Linked DNA regions of Drosophila melanogaster. The protein of the gene in region 3 interacts with the protein of the main gene of each other region in a pairwise test. Each region holds a gene or a part of one and is shown on either strand. Other genes may lie near its edges. The genes, in order: mRRF1, CG9646, Syn and Cpr49Ah.

Region 1 (4,209 bases), on a different chromosome or scaffold from region 3:
CAAGTTAAGTACCATATATAATTGATAAAAGGCAGAGATCAAATATATACCTATATGCTCATTATTCGGACAAGCTTTGATACCTTTAAGTTGAATTTTTTATATGCATTATTATAACTATTAACTATACAAATAGAAATATATGACCATTGTAAAACTGAAGAGTGACAACTTGTTGACATCTAGCAAGATCCACACGATTCGCTTTTTGCCCTTGGGGCGAGCAACAAGTGGCTATATAAGATTGCAGCCGGCCAGTCGGGAAAAAACAAACCCGTAGATATGTGGCTGTCGCTTATCTTTATTGCCTGTCTAGCCGGCGCAAGCAGTGGCGACGAGAAGATCCCGGTGGAGCAGGGATTTGTGCCCCGCTACACTCCGGTGGCCGAGAGCAAGCGACAGGATCTGGATTTACCCGCTGACGTAGGCATCGAGCAGCAAAAGAGACCTGCTGCAGGCGATAAGAAACCCTGGCGACGAGTGCAGTACGGATACGATGGAGTGCCGACTGCTGCCTGGGCTGCTCCATCTCCACCAGCTGCCATACTGTCCATCCTGAATCCTCTGCTTGCACCGGGATTGCTTCTTTTGGGTGTGAATTTGGGAGCCCTGCTGTACATGCTGCTGGGACTCCTGGGCTTGGCTCCTTATCGCAGTGGCAGCGCCAGTCGGTTAGCCTCGCATCCGGAAACCAACTCCCAATTCTGGCCGTGCGATCAAAGCTTCTACCACCGAGACGACAGACACAATTTGGATGAGGGCAAGGAAACGGCTGTATATTTTTAGTTAGAGCGCGTAACGCAAAGCTTTCTTTCAATTTATCAAAACAAATATAAAAAAAGTACATAAATAAATTCAAGGTTAAGTAATGGGTCAAAAGAACGAAAAAACGAACGAGCTTAGGGTTTGGAGGAGTTAGTGTTCTATCTATATATATGGTTATAGCTATGGTTAATTTGAACATGAATCTGTCTCGGTCCTGGCGGAATAGTTGTTACTTCAAGGCAAACACAAGTTGAAACTAACTGAATGAGTTCATGTTTTCTACTTCTTCAGGCGGAACGAAGCAGCACGATTGAATTTGACCAAAGGCGGCTCCTTACTGGCCGATCCCAGCGGTTTTCTCGCAAGCGTCGAGGTGCCTGCAAGGGCTGTCAGTAAAGAATTGCATTAAAATCTCTGATTGAATAGGCACAGTTTGCCGAACTCACCTTTGGCCATTAGCGCTCGTGGACTCTTGCGCACATAGTTGGCGTTGTATTTTACGTTTTCCTTGGCCAGAGAAGCAGCCGCCAACGTTCTCTGAAGTCCTTGCGCCGTAAAGTGATTCGACTTGAGTAGAGCTGCAATTAAACACCAAAGTAATGAGCATAAAGTATTTCCGTCATGCATAAATGATTATGAGCCATGTCCACATATTAACAAAAAAATTTCGCTGCGATGAAATAGTTTATACATAATGCATAACATTTAGAAAGCAAAACCTTACCCTTCTTGATCTTTTCATTGCCACCGCGCACATTCTGATCGGATATCAGATCGCTGACCAGTCGCTGTTGGACGGTTCGCGGCTTGGTCACCGTCGCCGTGAGTGCCTTCCTTGCGCTACTGCTGCTAGAAGTACTGCTGCTAGAACTACTGCTGCAGGGACCCAGGACCTGCGTTTCGTTTAGATTTCGTGGCCTCTTAAACGTCCTGTGCAGCTCCTCGGAATCTGATTCGGTGTCCTGGCTATCAAAGTCCTCCATGCTCAAATGCAGATCGTCGTCGCTCTGAGCCGCTTGCCTTTGTCGCTTTTTGGCGCTGGCCGTGAGGCTGCATGTGGGCTCTTCTTCCTCCTGGGCGCTGCTGCGCAGAGCCACAGGCACCGCCAACGGATTCATCTCGGCCATTTTGGTATTGGCCTCGGAATCGGCGAACCGCATCTTTCGCAGCAACCTTTCGAAGACCGCCTCAATTTCCGGCGTCAGCTTTTGACCATCCTCGAGGCGATCGTACGTCTGGTTGAGCACTTCGCAGGCTGTTCGGAAGGACTTTCGCATCAGATCCAAGTTCTCAACCAGCTCCTGGTTAATTGCGTTCACGTGATTGTTAAAGATATTCTGCTTGGTCAGCTGCAGCTCGAGATCCTTGTACTTAACGTATACAATGAGTATCTGGTAGGCCTTTGATTTGTTAACCTCTCGCTTTAGACTTTCTAGATCCTGGTAGGCAATCTCCATTTTACTCAGCCAGCTGGGCAACTCCTCCTTGTACTTCTCCATCTGGCTGGTCAGTGTGCTCATGTAGTTCGCAAAGCGACGGAAGTCCTGAAAAGTTTATAAGAAAAGGGTATTTATGGTAATAATACATTTTAAAATTAAGTAATGAGTTTTTTTTTTTCAAATAAACCCGCCAACGTAAGCGTTACGTTACGTTAACATGCCTTACGTTTGAGGTTTGTTACGACGAATCGGAAAGAAACAGCTGATGCTGCCCAATTGAAAATCAGTTCCGCATTTAATCCAAACAAAATAGATTAAATTTAAATAAAATGCTGCGAAGTGCACTGCATTTAGCTGCCCTAGGAGTGCGCCAGACGCGAGTGTCGAGCTCCTCACCGAAATTACCTCTAATCCTGCAAAATAATCTAGAAAACACGAAATATCTACAAGTGGCGCGCGATTATGCAAAGGGCAAGGACAAAAAGAAGGAAAAAGGCGGCAAGGGAAAGCCGGGCAAGGTGGAAATCAATGAGCAGCAGCTGCGCGAGATCCTCAATTTCGATGGCCTGAATAGCCAGATGCAGAAGTCCGTGATGCAGATGAAGGAGGATTTTGTGAAGCACCTGTCGCTGCGATCCACCAGCGGTGCCATCGACACACTGCGCATCAAAGTCGATGGCCAGGAGCACGAGCTGCAGGAACTGGCCCAAATCTCTCGCAAGAATCCCAAGACCATCATAGTCAACATGATTGGCTTCCCGCAAACGATTCCCGATGTCCTCAAAGCCATCGAAAAGAGTGGCATGAACCTTAATCCCCAACAGGATGGCACTACACTGTTCATACCCATCCCAAAGGTCACCAAGGAGCACAGGGAAAATCTATCCAAGAATGCCAAAGCTCTGTTCGTCAAATATCGCGATGCCATACGAGGCGTTCAGAACGAACACATTCGCAAGCTGAAAAAACAACCGGAACTTGGCAAGGATGATGCCTTCGCCGCACAGGCTCAGGTCACTGCCATCGCGGATCGCTTCATCTCGGAGGCGGACAAGTTGCTGGCCAGCAAGCAGAAGGAGCTGCTGGGCGATTAGGCCTAAGACCAAGACTGATTCCGCTCCAAAAGCCTTAATAAATGTAAATGTTTAAACTTAAAAACTCTTGAGATGAACTTCCAGAAATAGAAAAACACTAGATGAGCACAAATTTGGACTCTTAGTACCATTTGAAATCGAAAAATCGAACTCACCTCCTGGCACACTCGCTGGTCGACACACATCAGCTTCCTGAACTCCTCCAGTTCTTTTTTCAGTGTCTGCCGGTAGTTGATGTTCTTGATCTTGCTACGCATACCAAGGACGTGCTCCTGAAGCTGCCGGGCGGCCGCATATACAGCGTCTATCTTGCTGTACCACGTCTTAAGCTCCAGCGGATCGAATCCACTATTGCCGGCGCGCTCCAACTGAGTGGCCTTGGCCTCCAGCGCCTTGTTGCGCTCTTTGAGTCGCTCGTTCTCGGCTACCACCTCGTCGATCTTCTTCACATAGAACTCGGTTGGCATCTTGGACTTGAGGACATTCTGTTTCAGAGTCGTGCGTATCTTCTTAGCTCGGCTAGCGTACTTAAGGGTGTTGTAGGTATCTTCATAGGTCAGTGAGCTCATCGAGACATTGGCCACCATCAATGTGCGACAATTTCCGCCCAACGAGTCCTTCAGGATGCGTGTCAGGTTCGAGTCGCGGTACGGGATGTGCTTTAAGCCGTCGGCTAGCTTGTTTATGCAATTTCCCAAAGCTAAGAGACTTTTGTTGATGCTGGCGCCTTCCTTGAATCGCACTCCAATGCCTTTCGTACTGGCCGCCCTCTCACTGCCCGCCAGATCGATCATGGATAGTTTGACCGTTCTTTTGGTGTCGGTCTTGCGCTCCGTGATCCTAATGTGCACCTGGAAGATGGCATGTGACCTGGAACTCTCTGCATTGGCATCTGTGGGGTGCTGAGTGCG
Region 2 (8,377 bases), on a different chromosome or scaffold from region 3:
CGGCGACATGGTTCAACGTATGGCTGGGTGGGGGGAATCATTGACCAAGAAATAAATAAAGAATTGTCGTTCAATTAAAAATAAGTTGCCAGCATGGCGCTGGTTGTGTTGTCAGTATGCCAAAGGTAGCCAAAGGGAACGGGAAACAGAGAATGGCCGCAGTAACCGACGATTTTGCAAGGAAGTGCGAGATAAAGCAGAATGACACGCTGGGCAGGTGGGTGCATCTATAACCCATTTAAAATATTTAACCCCTGTGGGTTTCCCTGAAGATTTGCGGTTGCCCTCTGTAATGTTCGGGCTGGCGAGACCCTGCTGCTGGAGAATCCTATCGTGGTTTTGCCCCTAATGGGCGAAAGACGCTGCTCCAAGTGCTTTAATCTAACCGAGAGTTTTTGTCGGTAGGTGGACTCCATACAAATGTGTTATCCATTTACGAATCTTATGTAAACCCTTAGAAAGTGCCGTCTGTTAGCTTTGTGTGAGGATTGCTCGGATCATGACGAACGAGATTGCAAAAGGCTTGCTGAAATGAATTTTTCGGACGACCAGGTGGAGCTGCTTCAGAAAAAGGAGCACACCGAAATCCAGCCAGTTTTGAAATGCCTGCTGTTAAGAGAGCACGAGGAAACCCTGCCCTTGTACGAGGAAATGTCCCAAATGGATTCCCAACTTATGACTAGAAGAGGGACTGAAGTCTGGAAAAACTACCAGGAGCACGCATTTACTCCTCTGGATTATGGTGGAGTGCTAGCACAACTACGGGGTGCGGCGGATGAGGACCTAGTACAGGGTCTCCTAGGCATCCTGGACATAAATGCCTACGAGATAAGGGCCCCGGAGGTGGGTGGCGCCATGAGAGGACTGTATCGCCGGGCAGGACTCTTCGCCCACAGCTGCACGCCCAACCTGGTCATCTCAATCGATGACGAGCAACGTATAAAGGTCTACGCAAATCGGTTTATAGCCGCCGGAGAGATCCTTTACAATTGCTACACCAATGTGCTCCTGGGCACCGAGGAGCGTCGCAAAATCCTCAAGGTGGGCAAGTGCTTCGACTGCTCCTGTCCGCGATGCCAGGATCCCACCGAGCTGGGAACACACATGAGCAGTTTCATTTGCAGTCAATGCTCGTGCGTAGATGGCTACATAGTGCGTCAGCCGGATACCGGAATATGGCAGTGCCTTCTTAATCCGGAGCACACACTGAAACAGGAGTTTGTCTCGAATATGCTGGAACGTGCTAAGGAGGAAATATTTCACGCAAGGGATGATATATACCGGCAGGAGCTACTCTTGGCCAAGCTAAGTCGCCTACTTCATCGGAATCATTTCCTAATGCTCGATCTAAAGCAAAATATCGCCTCTATATTGCGACAGATTCTTCAGAATATGGGAACCCGACCAAATAAGAAAGTATACGAGCGGAAGATTCGTTTGTGCCAGGAGATATTGTTGGTACTTAAGGTCGTAACTCCTGGAATCTCCAGATTGAAGGCTATCGCCCTCTATGAACTGGCTAACACACAGGCCGAATTGGCCAGAAAAATGTATACTGAAATGGAGCACAGTGCCAATGACCTCCTGGTGGGAAAGTCCTGGATTTATTCCTTAATGTCAAATTAATGAAATTTTTTCTAGGCGGAATTGGAACGAGTTGAGGTCATGCTGCGGGAGTCTCTGCGAATGCTTCTATTTGAGCCACTGGCCACTCCAGAGGGCCAGCTGACGCGATCAATGCTTCGAGAGCTGAAGGAGCTGCAGGATGATATAAAAAATCTTCGGGAATCCGATGACGATGTGGTAAATCAATAAGATCTGCGAGTTTGCAGATTAAAACTGGTATTTGAATTCAATAAGCATTGTTTCCCATGTTTAACTAATGACTTATTCATGTGTATAGCATTCATCTTGTTGATTAAAAATTTGAAAAAAAAAGAGGATACAATATTAACTGAGCTAAATTTCAAATCAAATCAAACCGAAATTGTTAGGAATGTTCACGAACAATAGGAAATAATACTAGTTTGCATTACTTTTTAATGAAACTTTAAATCAATTTAAATTCGATAACTGATATAGAGCTTTAATCGAAGAGCCGCACGTTTGCTGTTATCGTTTAATTTACCGCTTTTGCAACACTACTGAGTTTATTTATTGTTATTTATCTTTTTTTTGCATTAAACAATAAAAGCTCAGCTAGACAAAAGAGTTAACCGTGGAATTTTCGACATTTCCGAATAAATAACACAAAGAGGCAGTGAAATTATGGGAACAGCTGATAACTGATAATACAGATGGGGTATGCACCGCGAATAAGGGATAAAACAACCCCCAAGTGGGAAAAAAACGAGGGTTTGCTGCTCAGTTGCGATTTGCATGTGCCGTGGAGATAAGGTGCTCCTCTGCACCGCTTGATTCTGCGACTGCAAAAAATTTCCAACCGTGGAGCAACAACAAATGCTGCAATATATACATCACTAGCCGCGTCCCCGCAACGTTGCCGCCACCCCCGCAAAGGCCGTAATGTGTTGGACGTTGTGAAATAGTAATACTCACCATTCTACATCGACATTCGTCATCCGGAAGCGCGGAGCCGTGAAAATCCCCCTTTAGGATGGCCCTCGCCAGTGCCGCCGCCGCCCTCTTGAAGGGTTCGCAGACGCCTCTGCAGCAGCTCCTGGAGGACATTAACTTCCAGCGCACCAAGGAGATGCGTCAGCTGCTCAAGGATGGTGGGTACAGCTCTAATCCGGACTCCGCAGCTCCCCGATTCGGTTCAAATAGCAGGGAAAATTTGTCTACATTTGCACTTTATCGATTTATCACAAAGGGCAACCCCTAAGGATGTGTATGCTTGTGTGTGTGCCCTGCTGCGCTTGTGTTTGTGTGTTCGTGCCTTTTCCGCCCCACTTTTGGCCAACCTCTTTGTTTTCCTTTACATAAGCGGCTTTTACTTTTATCGGCCCAAATGGCAGTATGGGAAAACCGCAAACAGCTGTTCACCTGTCGGTCAACATCAGCATCCCCCAGTTTCCCACAAGTCCTCAAAATCGAAAAGATAGAGCCGAAGCTAAGGTTCCTAGAAATATGATTGCCAAAACGAAATTCTCAAATTTGAATATACATAGATAGTTAATTATTTTTATGATGCAATTGAAGTTTGGGATTTAATACGTTCCATTTATAGAAGCTTAGCAACGCTTTTGGTCATAATAAATCTATATAACAAATTATGTAATACACTTAGGCATTTGATTTCATAACATTGACGCTGAAGCTCAGAAAGTTAATATTCTTATTATATGTCTCTTAGATGGCGGTTTCGTTGTCCTACAGGGCACCACCTACTGGACGGACCTGTTTGTGCGTCATTTCCTCTTCCAGACAGAGCCCGTGCACAGCATCGACTCAGACGACTTGCTCTTCTTTGTGCGCAAAAAGCACGTGAAGAGCTCCTCTCGTCACATGCCAAAATTTGAGGTGAGCATCAGGAATTACCATAAAACACCCATTGAACATATTCTATTCTTTAAACAGACTGAGGTGGAGGTATTCCGCAAGGACTCGCGCAAACTGCCCATCGGTGATCCTGATGTGGACTGGGAGGAGACGGTTTATCTCAACATGGTCATTCATCAGTTCGATTACACGTTGACACTGGCCATTTGTACAAGGACGTCGCCAAAGGAGTTGCAAGTGCTGAGAAGACATTCGCAGAGGGTCTACGCAAGCCCCAGTCGTCGGAAGATGGACACCAAGGGCGAAGGCGAGGAGATTACGTATCCGCACATCTGCTTCATGGTCGATAATTTCGACGAGGTGTTCAGCGACATTTTGGTGCGCGACGGGGAGATGGTGTGCGTCGAACTGGTGGCTAACGACAAAGATGGAGCAGTGCAAGGAGTGATCTTTTTGGGGTCCATACGCTATGATGCCCTAAAAAAGGTGTACGATGCCAGGGTATGACCAATCTGAATTGCTCTATGTTTTTCTATCCTAACTTTTACATTTTGCAACTTAGCAATCTAGTCTGAGTTCCAAGGTGGCGCAGCGCATGTCCTTTGGCCTGTTCAGCAGTGGAGCTGGTGTCCAAACGCGCTGCGAGTTTGTCCGGATGAAGGGACCTCAGGGAAAGGGACACGCCGAGATGGCGGTGACCAAGCCAAAAGGATCCGGTGTGGAGACACCCACCAGCGAGCCGGGATTCTGCGCCACTGACATGTGGGACGAGTGGGAGGAAGAGAACGACGACTATTGCACCTATCGACATCAGAGACGCCTTAGCGATCCTAGTGCCAATCTCAATAACTTCTCACGGTACGGGTGGCGCACGAAGAACTCGAATAACCAGGATATGGTGGGCAGTGGCACCAGCCCCAGTGTGGGAGCCAAGGCGCGATCGGAGAACGAGGGACTGGACTCGCTGGCTAGCGAGGTGTCCGAAATCGAGGCTGGAGATTTGCGCGACGGTCAGTCTGAACATGTACTTCTTTATCCTTGTTTCCTATTCATTTGAGCATCCTTAAGTTGCATGATATTTAGAATTGTATTACTGCTTACAGTTGTTGCCGTAGTTAAATTAAAGCTGCTTTTCCGCTTGCTCCTTTCATTTTCCGTTCATATTCCTGATTTACTTCTCGTAATGTGTTGTCGTTCCATTGATTTTCCTTTTAAAACTTCCAACTATCGAATTTATATATATACTTTAAGTGTGCCCCTAAGAACGACTCCAGAGTATATATATAAAGAGAACACCAGACATTGCCGAGAAAGCAGGACAAATAATACACTAAGGACAACCAAAATTATATTTCGTTTGGCTTATTGTTTGACACTGGATTTCGCTTTAAACGGGAATCGTTCACCACATTCCGTAGTCCCGTCCCTATTCCCAATTCCCTTTAGAAATTGTTTGGTGGCTTGACTGTATATTCATTAGACATCCATTCATCCACCTATTATCGATCGATCGCCTAGTTTATATTTGTGTTTCCCTATTCTGGTTTATTATTTCCACTGCTTTCTGTTGCCAATTATCGATTAAGTTGCTTGGGCCGATCATCGGTTGTACATGTGTGTCGATGTATATGCTTTTAAAACGCAAAAACCGATCTATCTACTTGTAGATCAGCAACGTCCTGCTTTCTCGGCCTCAGCGGCAAAACTGCACCCAAATCCGAACTGCGAGACACATAAACTCGCGACTGGTGACCAAGAAAAGTTGACCCAAGAATCTCCTAGAGAGAGTACTTCCTCTGCTCCAGCGGAAGTCGCTGTTCCTGCTGTTACTCCGCCTCCATTGAGTGCCGCCGTGGAGGTCACAGTTTCCGGGGACGTCAGCGTTACTGGACATAGCTCAACTACGGGCTGCAATTGCTTTGGTGGCAAAAAGTGTAAGAAGCGCTGGGCGTCTGCCAAGAACACGGACACCCCGGAAATGTCCGAGGTGTACTGCCCCAGTTGCGAGGATCCGTCCAACGAGTCGCCCGCCTGTCTGGCCAAGATGCCCGACAAGCGGCCCACCCGTCTCAAGCCAAAAAGCAGCATCCTGAGTGTGGAGAGTGAGCTGCTCGTGGGCAAAAGAAGCAGTTTCCGACTGCCATCAGAGATCAAACGCAAGCAACAGGGTGGCAGCATTACGAGGAGTGCCTCCCTGAGTGCTGCTGATCGCAGGACCAGCCTCCCAGTGGCCACCAAGAGGATCATACCTCCAAGACTGCGCACGGCCAAAGCCAAGGATCTCGAGAAGGACAAGGAGAAAGAAAAGGACAAAAACAAGGAGAACGACAAGAAGTCTTCAAATCAGAAGGTCAACGGCTCAGCTACCAACTTTCTGGCCAAGATGTCGCCCAAGCGGCTAAAAGCAGGCAAAGAGAAGGACAAGGACAAAGATGGAAACAAGGAGAAGGAAAAGGACAAGTTCAAGGCAATGGATGCAGCTAAGAAAAAAGCTGTTAATAATAACAATCCAAAGCCTGACATTTCCAAATCGGAGGAGTACGAGATCGCCGATGATGCTACCTCCCTGAATGGTAGTGAATCGGAACCAGTTGGAGCCGCCAAGATGGTTATCCTAAGTGAGAGCGACAGCAAGCTAATGATTAGTGTGCGTGGACGAGAAGAGCTGCCGGTCGTGGATTCGCCCAAGACTCCGCCAAAACGATTCGAAAAGTGTGTCAGCTTGCCTGTGGAGCCGGAGAGTCATCTGCTGCAGCCGGACGAGAACAATGAGAACGAGCAGAGCGATATTACAAACGTGATATCGCCCACGGAACTTACACCCATGCTGGATGTGGCCAATGGCAACGGGGAGGCCAATAGTGCTACTCTTCCGAGAACAGCCAAGCAAGCTCATGTCAGCAAGATGCTGCATTTGGTTCCCAAGCGCAGAACACCCGATGGCACTAACATCTACTATTGGTGCGATGTGCCCAAAAAGGCAATAAAAGGTTATTTCCTAGGCTTTTTACTTCAACTATATTTAATTTTTTTGTACTTCGATTTTCGTGTACTTACATTTCAATAATTCCGACTAACATAAACTAATTCCGTGAGCCTCTTATCTACTTTTAGAGCTCGACGATGGCGCTTATAATCCCCTATGGACCAGTCGAGGCTTTACGCAATCTTTTCATTTCTGGAAGGAGAATAGAAGACAGCAGTCAACGCCGCTAAATGCATTCCTCACATATGTGACACTGCCCTGGTGGAGCATTGCAAAAGGTGAGCTACTTGAAGACCTACCTCAAAAATATTCGCCATTCTGATGTAAAATACTTTTTTTTTCAGATCTCTTGGATCACCGGGAAACGCCTATTCTGACCTTTTAGTATTAACTTTATCTGGCAATTGTGATTTATATGCTTTATAGTTCTCACATGTATTCCCTATTTATCGATCGAATGTGTGACCAGTCTGTGTGATCAGTCCCAGTTTGATTTATCAGTATATATGCTATGTTCTCGACCAATGTTGAGTTTCCTAAGGCGAATCCTCACGATTCACACTATTTCGGGAGCGGAAAGCAAACCTACAAATTTATGAACTACAAACTACGATAGTGAGCTCTGTTACCGATGATATGGAAATATATAATTGTAATATTATTTGTAAATTGTACGGCAAAATTTATACCATGAAATATATACGGAATAGAAAAGACACGAGAGTAAAGAGGAATTATTGGAGGAGCCAATGGATGAAAGTCAAGACCATCTCGCGAGTAATGCTTGTAATCAGAGTTCCCGAAGCATCCGGCATCGGGTCGGTCGCTCGACTTGAAGATAGCTCTATCGCCTCTCCGGCTTGATTAGTCTGTTTTTGAGCCTCGCTGGAAACGGTCGTTGCTGCAGTTGAGCTTTGTAATCGAGTCAAGTGATAACGCGGGAAATAAAGCACTGGAGATGGGGCAATCGCTGCCGCTGCTCATCCGCCTCATCGTTGTGATCTGGCTGACAATTAGTATGGTCACCGCATGTCCCCGGGCGCCCACCCACTTGAACCACGGTCGACGCACACGCGGCGACAATGGATACAAATTAATTGTGGCCGATGGACCCAACGGCTATGTGCCCGGCAAGACGTATAATTGTAAGTCGGGAAGGTAGCTAGTTGGTTTTGTAATCATCGGGGTCATTCGAGAACTAAAAACAAAAGCCATCGAAATGATAAGAGAATCCAGAGCAGATGGTGATGTTGTCCATCTTGTCAGTCCAGTTGCTATTTTGATAACGCTTTCTGTGTTAATTTGTACCTAATCTTTTTGTAGTGATAAAGAAACTTTAAAGCATTTAGTTTATAAAACGTTTTGATTTATTAGAAAAATTTATTAAAATCAAAATATAACATTTATTGACAAATTGGTTAGCATTAGCTTTTCGGAATTCCTTTTTATTTAATAAATACATAACTTTATGTAGGGTTAGAAAAAATATATGTAACCATGACTAAATGACACATTGTGGCTTAAGAATGAGCGTTTCGCAAATGCTTTTCATAGTATCCCTTGTACTTGAATACTTTAATGCATTTTGTGCACTGAAACCGAACTTGGTGAGAAATCAAATGCTTTAAGTACTCTTTCTTTAAGATGAAAATATCGTCGCAACATTTGCAAAAGTAAGCAAAACTAACAGGTAAAAACGAGAATAGCTTTAAAGTATATCGGGCATTTTCCGAAATGGTATCCAAGTCAATATATTGGGTATATATATTGTAATGCCAAACTGAAATCTGATTAATAATGCCTTTTATATCGCTGTTCGCCAGGTTGCATAACATTGTCTTGTTAACTTCTCTGGTTAAAGCAAATATCTGTTGAGAAATAAAGTCCGGTTTCGCTGGCGGACAAATTTTTCTATAATTCCAAATAGAA
Region 3 (5,540 bases):
GAGCGCATCTTGAAGAGAAACGAGAATAACTCAACTAACTCGCAAATTCGCGCATATTCCAGACAATTTAATACCATAATTTAAATGTTAGCTAGACACTCAACTAACTAAACCTATTTTGCATGAAGTTGGCTATAATCAGCAGTAGTTTTCCATCATTAAACTTCATTTGGTTTTTCGTTTTTGTTCACTTTAAAGTTTATACATTTTGCTGCTCTTTTCAACAGAGCGACGTGTGAGCAACACGTGAAAACAAGTTTTATGCAACAGCTCATTGTTTACTTATTGTTGTTGGGGTCGTTTGTAAAATGTGTTTATTTATTCGAAAAAGTTGTTTTTATTTGCTATTACTCAGCTACCTGCACTCCGCACTAATGATTATTACTTTTGAAACGCGTTAAAGCACTACAATTGTTAAATAGATTTAGTCGGGAACTTTCCGCTTGACACGTTAACAGTTCGAGAGATTGTTGGCAACTGAATCGCAGAGACGGAAATTGCTCTAAGCCAAGCTTTGCTGTTTCGGCTTGGCTGCTTTATTTTGTTTCTTCTTGTTTTAACTCTCTCTTTCTCTCGCTCTCTTTGTGCTGCTCTTTTTGGACACATCTTCGTTTGTTTTGGCCATTATTACTTTGCCTACTCATTCTGGCCATCGGAGGCGTTACCATATCGCTGGAAAAAGAATTTAAGCCATGGCTTTGGCGCCCAAGCAACAGCTCCCTTCGTCTTGGCCCAGTTGCTCTCTATTTTTATCAATTCGCCATGCTTGCTGATAAAAATATTACAATGTGCGTCAGTAACTCTAGGTGTAAGATCACTAAAAAAAAGTTTAACTCCTATTAAAAATATTCCAACAAATGAGAAATTTTTAACAAAGCCATTTCCTTGTTATTGTCAATATCTATTTTAAAGTATAATATCCAACCATTAGGAAAATGTTTTTTACAAACATATAAAATGTTTCTTGTTTAATAATTTAAAAACATTATAATTATGTTTTTTCAGAAACTATTTTTTGAAAAAAATGAATAATAATTCAAAAGTGTTGCATTATATTTGCAAGTACTAGATCTGTTGCTTACACCAAATTTTAAGAAAATTTGGCTTGCATGGTTGGTTTTGAATAGTGTATTATATAGTGGTGGTTGATGGAACTCGTAGCGTAACGCAGACTTCAATGAATCGATATGCCCGCAGGTTTCTCTTACTCACGCATGCGCACTAACTTCCAATGGGGTGGTCTTCGTAAAAGAGAGTAACCAGTGTTGGTAAAATATATAAAAATAACGGTGTATTTCAAGCAATTTTAGGAAGTTATTAATAAAAGCCTGGAAAATATTGAATCATATTTTAATTACTCATCCTGCCTGTCTATAAAACAACCAGTAGTGGATTATTAAGTATATATTTTACTATAAAATGCACATTGCACTGACTCTCTTTTCAAAACTCTCTCCAATATCTCTCCCTCTCTTTGAGTACTTACATGCCTTTACATTCGCACATTTCTTTTGGTGGGAAACTCTTGGATGAAAAGCCCACTCGCTCAGTGAAAATTTCATCACCGTCGTTGACAGTTCAGCCAAAATTCTCTAGCTCCACAAAATTCGCCCAGCCAAATCTCAAAATTATCTAAACTACATTTTTTGTTCACTTTTGATCATTAAAAGTCATCGCTTAACGTTCATCGGCCATTCGAGTGGAAATTTGTGAGCTCGAGCAGGAATATTCAAGTGAATTTTTAGCTCTTTTCGGTAAAGAAAAACGCAATTACCCAAAAATCGAAACACGGCTAAAGTGGAAAAAAAAATATATAAGAAATTTCTGTATCAGCTAGTCAGCGTTGTTTGCCCCCAGTGTGAGTGCAAGTGTCTGTGTGTATTTTGTGTGTGTGCGAGTGTGTGTGGGTTTGTGTCTGTGTGTGTACGTGATAAGCGTAGACAGACGCCGTAACAACAAAACTGAGACCCCGAGGTTAGAGAGGCACCATCGCTTTATTGAATTACAAGTAAAACAAAGAGCGCGACTTAGCTGGCGATTAAAGAGTCCTCAAAAGGGGAGAGGTGGAGGGGAAGTCGGAAAAAAAAGGGGATCCAAAGCGGGCGGTGGCAACCTGATAACCCACAAACCCACTGCCAGCGGGAGCCGAGCAAATAGTCCTGAGTGGCGGTTTTGATACTGCTAATTGCTTGGGAAAAATTAATTAAAAACCTTGGTCTCTAAAACTATTTACCACTGGTCGCTTGGAGAGATAATTCTTTATATTTCGCTTTAGATTCAACTTGTTTTTGATCTTAGCTATTGGTTCTGGGTAACTGAAACTATTTTTAAAACGAATTATCTTAGTTAAAGAACATCAGAAAATGCTTTCTGATATATCCAATAAGCTTAAATTTATACGCACAAGCCCAATTTTATTTCTTGAGTTCTAAAGTGGCAAAATCTTTATAGCTTAACTAAAAGCCATAAAAGTCTTTGACCCCAGACGGAAATAGCTGCCACAATTTGCGTGAGCCAACGGTACAATTTACTCTGAAATGCTTGGCAGTTTTAATTACCATCGAAAAGACATTACGCCCTGTTTTATGACAAGCCAACGCACATATCAACACAAAGCATTCTCGTAAGGGAAAAGCCACTGGAAAATGGGTTAAATGTGGCTGCAGGTGCTGCAGGTGCTGCAGCTCCGGATGTAGAGTCCTGCATTTACCCATTCCGCAACTCGTTCTCGCATTGCAGTTTATATAAAACGGTTGACAGAAAATGCAACTGCTTAAGCTGCCATAAAAGGAAACTTTAATTTGCCACTGACGTTGATGGATTGTGTTGCAACTTCGCTCTTACCGGGAAAATAGCCCAAGCCACCCACAAGATCGGGGGGTTAAGCCGGGCCATAAAGTTTTTCCAGCACAGATTTGTGCTGGGTACCAAAAAGTTGCGGGCAAAAACAGTCCAGAGAAGTTCCAAAGCCTCCGGAAAGGGCAACCCAACAGCCGAGACCCTCAACACGTTACTGTGATTATTAATTCAAAAAGTTTTCACACACACGTACAGCCAGGCAGCCAAAAGTAGAGGGATGTGTGCTCGTTCAGACAACACGGCGGATGAAAATATCCCGCAAACGAGCTGTACTGGCAATCAGCCGAATGGCAACACATGTATATCGATGCTAGACGGTTATGAATTATGCAAGAAATACCAGGAAGTTAAGGAGCCTGACCAACTTAATTTGGGCAAATAACGAGGACCAATCTGCTGGCTGGATAATTAAATAAGACTTAAAGTTGGCCAAATAAGTTTATCGAAAAACCGCTCAGTTATTACTGTTTTGATAGGCAAAATAAACAGAGCAAACAAACAATCGGGGCCATCAATAATGAAATCGATTTGTATAAGCTCTACTTAGTCACCCAGCCTGCGAGTTAGTCCGTTTCTGACGTGTGCTGAACTTTGACATTTGGGAACACGCTAAAGAAAATGCCAAATGTCAAAACTGTCCGTGTTGGAAAGTGCAGCTATCGCACAGCTTCTGGTCGAAAATCAGAGAATCCCAGCTCAGCTGTGTGTGGGGGCCAAAAAGTAAGTCACAGACAGAACGGCGTCCCTGCGTATACGTAATCTTCTTAGCCACAGCAACTCATTATTAGAGCTTATGTCATGAATGGATAAGGAGGAGTCGGGATTTTATTATCGGAAAAATTGGAAAGTCTTGACTTTGTAATGAACTTCAACAATGTATGTGCATCTCATTGGACCAGCAAGGACATCCTCAATTGTTTAACCCTAAAAAGTAGGCTACGAAAAGTTGCACAACCGCCTTGAATATTTTAGTTATGATAAGTGAATCAGCACTTTGCTTGCGACCTTTGGGACACATTAACGCAATTTTCCCGCACTTAGCTGGGACCGCAGAGGCAAAAGGCTTGGCCTGCTGATTTGTTTAGGTGTTATTTACACATAACATTTGGTTATTCGGCCGCAAATCTTTCACATTTTTTTCGTATTGCCTAGGGATGTGTGTTTTCGAGTTTTTCAGTGAGCGTTCAGTGGTGTTTGTATACTATGTCCTACATAGAGGCCACTGCCAGTGCAATGAACCAAAAACAATGTTTTGCTTGGCAGTCGACGGCAAAAAAAAAAAGAGAGCAACAAAAGCGACAGTCAGTCGTCCCTGGGGATGTTAACCAGTCGCTCGTCCGTTCATTCATTCCGCCATCCATCCATCCATCCAGTCGTCCCATTGCCTGGACATCCTCTGCCTGATAGCTGTTCGAGTTGATTTGCTCTTTGTGTTTTCCCTTTTCTTTTATTTTTCCGTATTTCCTTCAACTTTTGGCGATAAGTTACCGGACCGAAGCCAGCTAAATAAAAGGGTTTCGATGAAGTTCGTCGGGGGAATATGTGTGGCAGTGATAAACTTAAGGATGCAGTGGGTTTCATTTAATAAGAGAAAGTTAAGACTACATTTTTATAAATTTTTGTCATTTACCAGAAGTTCATTATGCGGGGCACATAATTGAACCTAGGTTGCTTTAGGTGTCACTCATTTAATTAAAAACATTAAGCTTTATAGAATTTAAGCTTTGTTGGAATCTTCCTCTGCTTAATATAATTCTCAATATATTTAATAATTAATAGAAAAAAAGAAAAAATATCAGAAAAAATTAAAAGATTAATTGTCCTTCCATTTAATTTAAAAGATTAATTCCCTACTTACAGATTAAAATAGCGACCGGATAGCCTGAGATTCGTCGTAGTAACGAAGCGAACCCCTGCGAAAACGGAGGCCAACTGCTCGACTTAATTGTCGACCACTGTCAATATTAGCGCCATCGCAACTGCTGGGTGTGGGCGAATCTGCGCCCCGCCACCGGTAAGACTGTTCCAAGATTCGTTCGCGCTTTCAGAACCCACTCATTTCACTTTGGCTTTTCTATATGGCACCCAAAGATATCACTCGAATCATATGGCAAAACACACTCACATATCTATAGCCTTGCTACGCTTTCATCAGCAAATTGCTTTTCAGTTTTTTCAGCTTCAATCTTTTTTGTTTTTCCACCAAGCTGCCCACTTGAACCTTTTCGCACACAAACACGCAAATTTACCCACAGGGGGTCGGTGTGCTGGTGTGTGCCTGAGACCAACATTATTATTATGTAGGGGCTGAAAAGTTTCAAGTGGCTGTAGGCCTGCGGGCCACGATAATAAATACAAAACGCACAGCGCCGTTTTGGCCACAAGTGTTTGACATTGTTGACTTGGTCCAAAAGAGCCCCCCAAACGCTAAACTTCACCACCGATTGATTTCTAACGTTATGCGCCACACAAAAGATCCTTGGAAATATAATGGCTATGCAATTTCAACACACTGGCCATTGTCCTTAAATGTCCTTGGCTTGTGCACCTGTTGCCGTTAGCTCGACTTTATACTCATGCCCACACGCCGTTCGTTTTAATGTTCTGTTCGTGGTGCTTATTTTAATTAAAATTAAGTTTGAGACACCTTAATTGCCATTTTAATAGAACTTTAGTTTTCA
Region 4 (4,542 bases), on a different chromosome or scaffold from region 3:
TTTTTTCGTCTTAATTATGCGCAAGAGCGTTGAAACTTAATGGCGAATAAACATTCTTCGGGGCCCCGCTTTCGGGGTCTGTTTCTACGGCGGTGGTGAAAATGCAGCGGATTTGATTTATATTCAGCTAGAAATAACCGCAGAGTATAGTCAGTGTGTTTACGTTATATGCAAATATGTTAGGTGGCCAAATCGTTTGCCGTTTTGTGGCCCAAAAGGTTATTCGGTTGTTTGTTCTTTCAACCTGATGACAGTGGTTTTTGGTTTCAATATTTGCGTAGCCAAGGGCTACTCCATTCGAAATGCCAAACGGTAAAGGTAGCCTACGTTAAATACAATAATTGGCAGAACGAAGAGGTTTCTCGGCGCGAAATCGGGGCTACGCCAGTAACCCATTCGTGGACCACTTCAACTGGCTTCCTCAGCCTTTCCACATGCAACGCCTGCCCGCGAAGACAAGTCGAATGGCACTGGAAAATCTGTCGTAATTATGCAACTGGCAACCAGTCGAGAGACTCCTCTCGAAAGAAAATTTCCATGGCGGCGATGTAGAAATATGGAAAATTGGAAAACCCAACCTGCATGGAATGGGATCAACAAACTAACGTAATTCGATCTGCGAAGTAAATAATAAAGCAACGAAAGATGCACGGTAAATGGGGAAATACTTTGAGAAAATAATGAGGACCCATAAACGCTTTGTCACGTTTGTCTGAACATCGTGGATATGGTCAGCTGTAAAACGGAAAAAAATAATGCCAGAAAATATGGTAAGTCCATCATCAAGTCGGTTCGGCATAATGGAAACGTTAGTTTACTTTTATTGTTTCAAAGCAGCGAAACTTTCACACTCGTTAATAAAATATTATTAATTTGATTGAGCGCCCCTGTCTGTTGGTTTTATGGTACTTAGTGGGAAATTCAAAAGTTATTAAACGATTATCATTCAGTGTGGTACAGCGATTTGGATTTGGAAGAGCTTGCAGAATGAAATCACAGTCTTGTTGTTGTTGATATAGAATGCGAAGAAGTTACGTTTCCAGGATCATCGGTTCGGTGGGGGAATGGAATGGGCGGAGCTCGTCTATTGGTTCTCCAGCAGACCGATGTACTGGCCATTCTGGTTGGCCACGCGTCGCTCCTCCAGTTTCCTCGCAAAGTCTGGATCTGTCTTGGCCCTCTGCTCCAGACGCTCCTGCTGCAGTTTAATGCCAGCGTAGATCTGATCCAAACCCTTCTGTATCTCCTCGGGAATAGCCGGCGGAGTAGGAATGTGATCACCTGTGGCCCTGAATCCATTCTCGTCGGCCGTGTACTGCACATTGACCAGAGTTCCCTCGGGGGATTGGTAGGAGTACTGGCCATGCTGAACCAACACCCCATTTGGATTGGTGTCGAAGTCCTTGAGGAAACCGGTTTCCTCATGAATGATGCTATTGCCCGTCTCGTATTCTGTCTTGTAGCTTCCATCGTCACTCTGCTCCTTGTTGTACTTGATTATGGGTATCCAGGTGCTGGTCTCTCTGTGATCTTCATGACGATGATGATCTGGTTTGTCATCGCGTGGTATGTTGTTCACATTTTGGTGCTGATGTTGATGGTGGTGTTGTCCTTGGCAGGAAATGGCCAACAGCACAAGAAGTATCTGAAAGGATAAATATTAGCTTAAGCTTACTAACACATGCAAGTCATTACGATTTCCAAACAAAGTAATCACAAAAAAGAATATTTAATCCTATCCTTTAGATGTAATGTAAACCAATAAATTTTATATTTGAGAAGATCGAACTGTTGCAATGTTTGCCAATCATTCATCGAGAATCACTTGACCGATTTTATGTGATTGGTTATGTGAACCACTTACGAGCACTTTCATTTCGCAAGGAGTCTCTGCCGCTTATCCACTGTATTCCACTGATTTGGCCCGCTTTGTCGCCCGTTTGGCTGGCACTGATCGCACTGGCTAGTGAAAGCAGCTCCGTTAGACACTGTGCCAAGCGCGGCCCTATTTTGGTCTTATATAGGCGATTCGCTCTGCTCCGACCCGATCCGATCCTCCTGTTGCACTCGTGTCCATACCCACACAGGTGAGCCTCCATGGGAGAGCGTGCATTTGCTATTTCTGCTGGTGATGGAGTTTCTAATGGAGATGAAGTTGCAGATGGATATGCAGTTGCAGTTGCCGATGAAGATGGGAGGGGATGGGAGTGGAAGTGGAATTTGCCATGGAAGCTCTTATTTTTTGTTAGCTGTCTGATCCGACCGATCGGTAATTGTTGTTCGTAGGCTCGACGACGCTTAAATGCTAAAATCGTAAAAAAAAAAACAATTCACTGTCGCTCTCGTTTGAGGCTTTTTCAGAGGCTGAGGCAGTATGATTTTAAAAGGAATCCAGAACTATGACAAACTATAAGGATAAAGCTAACATTCCATAATAATTTTGGATTAATAATTTGTGTTCGCCTTTTGTAAAATTTGATACCGTCATTATTATATAATGAAAAAAAAACGAAAAAATTGCAAATGCGCACACAGTAAAAAACAAATTATTTCTTTTCGCAAAGCAAAATCAGCTCTAAAAATGTTTAATTTTAATAGCTTCTGACCTTTTCCCTTTTTCTCATGCCCTAATCTTGGGATACTTTATTGAAATAACAAGTTCGTTTCCTAAGTCTTTTGTTTTAACGCAAGAAAATTCTTATGAAATGTTTTTTTTAAACATTTTATATTAAAAATATCTTATCTATTAAACTTTCTTATATATTACTTATTTATGAAGAGTCGTTTTGCCTTGTTAAGCCCCTTTTATACCGGCACCCATCTTAGCCCGGCTTATTGTCGCTGTTCGTATTTGGCCCGCTCGTAGGCCCGGCTCAAATGTCTGCGAAATGTCCGTCCCCCGCCAGCGCGTCCGGTCGTTCATCTTCGCAATGCCGTTATTTAGAAACATGCCAGAACGAGTTTTTTTTGCTTTGCTTTCGTTGTTGACTTGGCCAAAAGCGACAGTCGGCTCTCTCTCTCTCTCTCTCTTGCGACTGAATCGCATTTGAAGTGCATCCAAGATGCTGCTCCCTCGCGGCTTCGGTTTCGGATTCATTTTGAGATTCGCACTCGGACTTAGATTTGGATTCGCATTCTTGTAATTGCGGCAGTTTGGCGGACCCAATACCAACACCAGCGAAGCGCGAATTGTTGTAACAGCCAAAGTGCCTGGCAGATGAGGCAAGACGATAATTGAGTTCAAAGCGGGCCCGTGTCTTGGCAAATGTTAATTAGTTGCCAAACAATTGGGTTAATCTACAGTGCATTTTCGGCCAAAGATAACAAATAAACAAATATTAGGCGTTGTAAGAAATAAGAGAAAAATTCAATCATAGGAGACGATCAACTTGCAAGGGACAATATACAGCGAGTGCAACAACCGACGAAGTGCCGGCAATAAAGCCCGAAATGCTGCCAAACTCCAACGCCTATTGCGACAAACGACTCCTCCTCCCTCTGGGCCATCGTATTTTGGCCAACTCTTCGTCTTCCGCACCCACGACACCAAGTCAAACGCCCGCCAAGCCCCCGGTTTGCAATGTTGCTGCCGTGTGTGGTGATGTTGCTGCTGTTGCTGATGATGCATTGCAGGTTGTGCAACTCGTAGAGTTGCAGTTCCACGCACGGGCGAAAATGAAAATAAAAAACGAAAGCTGGGCAAGGTTAGCTTTCGAGTGCACCACCACAGATGCGCAAATGCTCACCATGAAACCGAACCCCCATCCCACTACCCACAACTGTGGCCCACTCACACATTGACCTGTTGCTGCCGGCATGGGGAAATTGCAGCATCTGCAAATGTCAAACGATTTCACCCTTACATTCTTAGCATTTGTCGTTCTTATGAACAACATTTGACATTTGGGTTCCGTTCCATTCCGTTCGGATTTGGCTTTATGGCAGAGAGCCAACTTGGCTAACAGAACCACGTTGCTGGCCATAAATATTCAGGCTGCTGCCGTGTCGGTTGTGAAATGAAATGCCTTGTCGATGCGGCCAATCTTGAGCTTGACTCGTAAATAATGCTCTAGTGGAGATTTTGAGCCAATCGTCAGCGGAACTTAACTTGACATAAAGATCACGTACCGCTGGTGTGACAAGTGGCCTGGCCATATAACACTTGATTAATTCTTAAGCGGCACAAATTGTCTCAACCACTTCTAGTTCTATCTCGATTTCAGCTGCTGTTAAACACACATTTTATTCATACCAGTTAGTTATGTAGTCTTTGCTTTCCTTTTGATGGGATCAAACAGGAAACCAGTCAGAGTGGTATTGATAACGTGCGCTGCGGGTGATAGAAAATTCATTTCGATTTTAAAATCGGTCTCTGGCAAGAAGGCTGGCAAATTTTCGGCAATATTGATGTTGGGGTAAACGTAAAGGCCCTGGAAAATCGTATTAGAATTAATTTTAATATTAAAAGTCAGATCTACCTTGGTATGCGGACACTTCAGCTGAGATCCCTGCTTTCCGAAGGCTTTGATGACAATTGTCATA

Evidence for each region.
Region 1: the proteins of Syn (region 3) and mRRF1 interact in a two-hybrid assay, tested with the Drosophila melanogaster proteins (one large-scale study listed by BioGRID).
Region 2: the proteins of Syn (region 3) and CG9646 interact in a two-hybrid assay, tested with the Drosophila melanogaster proteins (one large-scale study listed by BioGRID).
Region 4: the proteins of Syn (region 3) and Cpr49Ah interact in a two-hybrid assay, tested with the Drosophila melanogaster proteins (one large-scale study listed by BioGRID).

What each region holds. Positions count from the first base shown.
Region 1 is NT_037436.4:9,361,884-9,366,092, forward strand, and holds mRRF1 (mitochondrial ribosome recycling factor 1), read left to right. Parts: upstream 1-2,466; 5' UTR 2,467-2,533; coding exon 2,534-3,298; 3' UTR 3,299-3,357; downstream 3,358-4,209. Other genes in the region: CG34456 (uncharacterized protein), read left to right, coding at 283-786; Klp67A (Kinesin-like protein at 67A), read right to left, coding at 1,045-1,151, 1,212-1,343, 1,490-2,309, 3,454-4,209.
Region 2 is NT_033778.4:17,046,693-17,055,069, forward strand, and holds CG9646 (uncharacterized protein), read left to right. Parts: upstream 1-2,182; 5' UTR 2,183-2,617; coding exon 2,618-2,735; intron 2,736-3,316; coding exon 3,317-3,483; intron 3,484-3,540; coding exon 3,541-3,963; intron 3,964-4,024; coding exon 4,025-4,472; intron 4,473-5,129; coding exon 5,130-6,452; intron 6,453-6,576; coding exon 6,577-6,726; intron 6,727-6,792; coding exon 6,793-6,833; 3' UTR 6,834-7,163; downstream 7,164-8,377. Other genes in the region: SmydA-6 (SET and MYND domain containing, arthropod-specific, member 6), read left to right, coding at 153-217, 273-401, 459-1,587, 1,642-1,815; fat-spondin, read left to right, coding at 7,407-7,593; tef (teflon), read right to left, coding at 7,969-8,377.
Region 3 is NT_033777.3:10,189,141-10,194,680, forward strand, and holds the start of Syn (synapsin), read left to right. Parts: upstream 1-1,548; 5' UTR 1,549-1,754; intron 1,755-4,719; 5' UTR 4,720-4,873; intron 4,874-5,540. UniProt on the Drosophila melanogaster protein: Plays a significant role in nervous system function, which is subtle at the cellular level but manifests itself in complex behavior.
Region 4 is NT_033778.4:12,411,396-12,415,937, reverse strand, and holds Cpr49Ah (cuticular protein 49Ah), read right to left. Parts: upstream 1,977-4,542; 5' UTR 1,877-1,976; coding exon 1,865-1,876; intron 1,646-1,864; coding exon 1,085-1,645; 3' UTR 768-1,084; downstream 1-767. Other genes in the region: CG33627 (uncharacterized protein), read right to left, coding at 4,260-4,430, 4,479-4,542.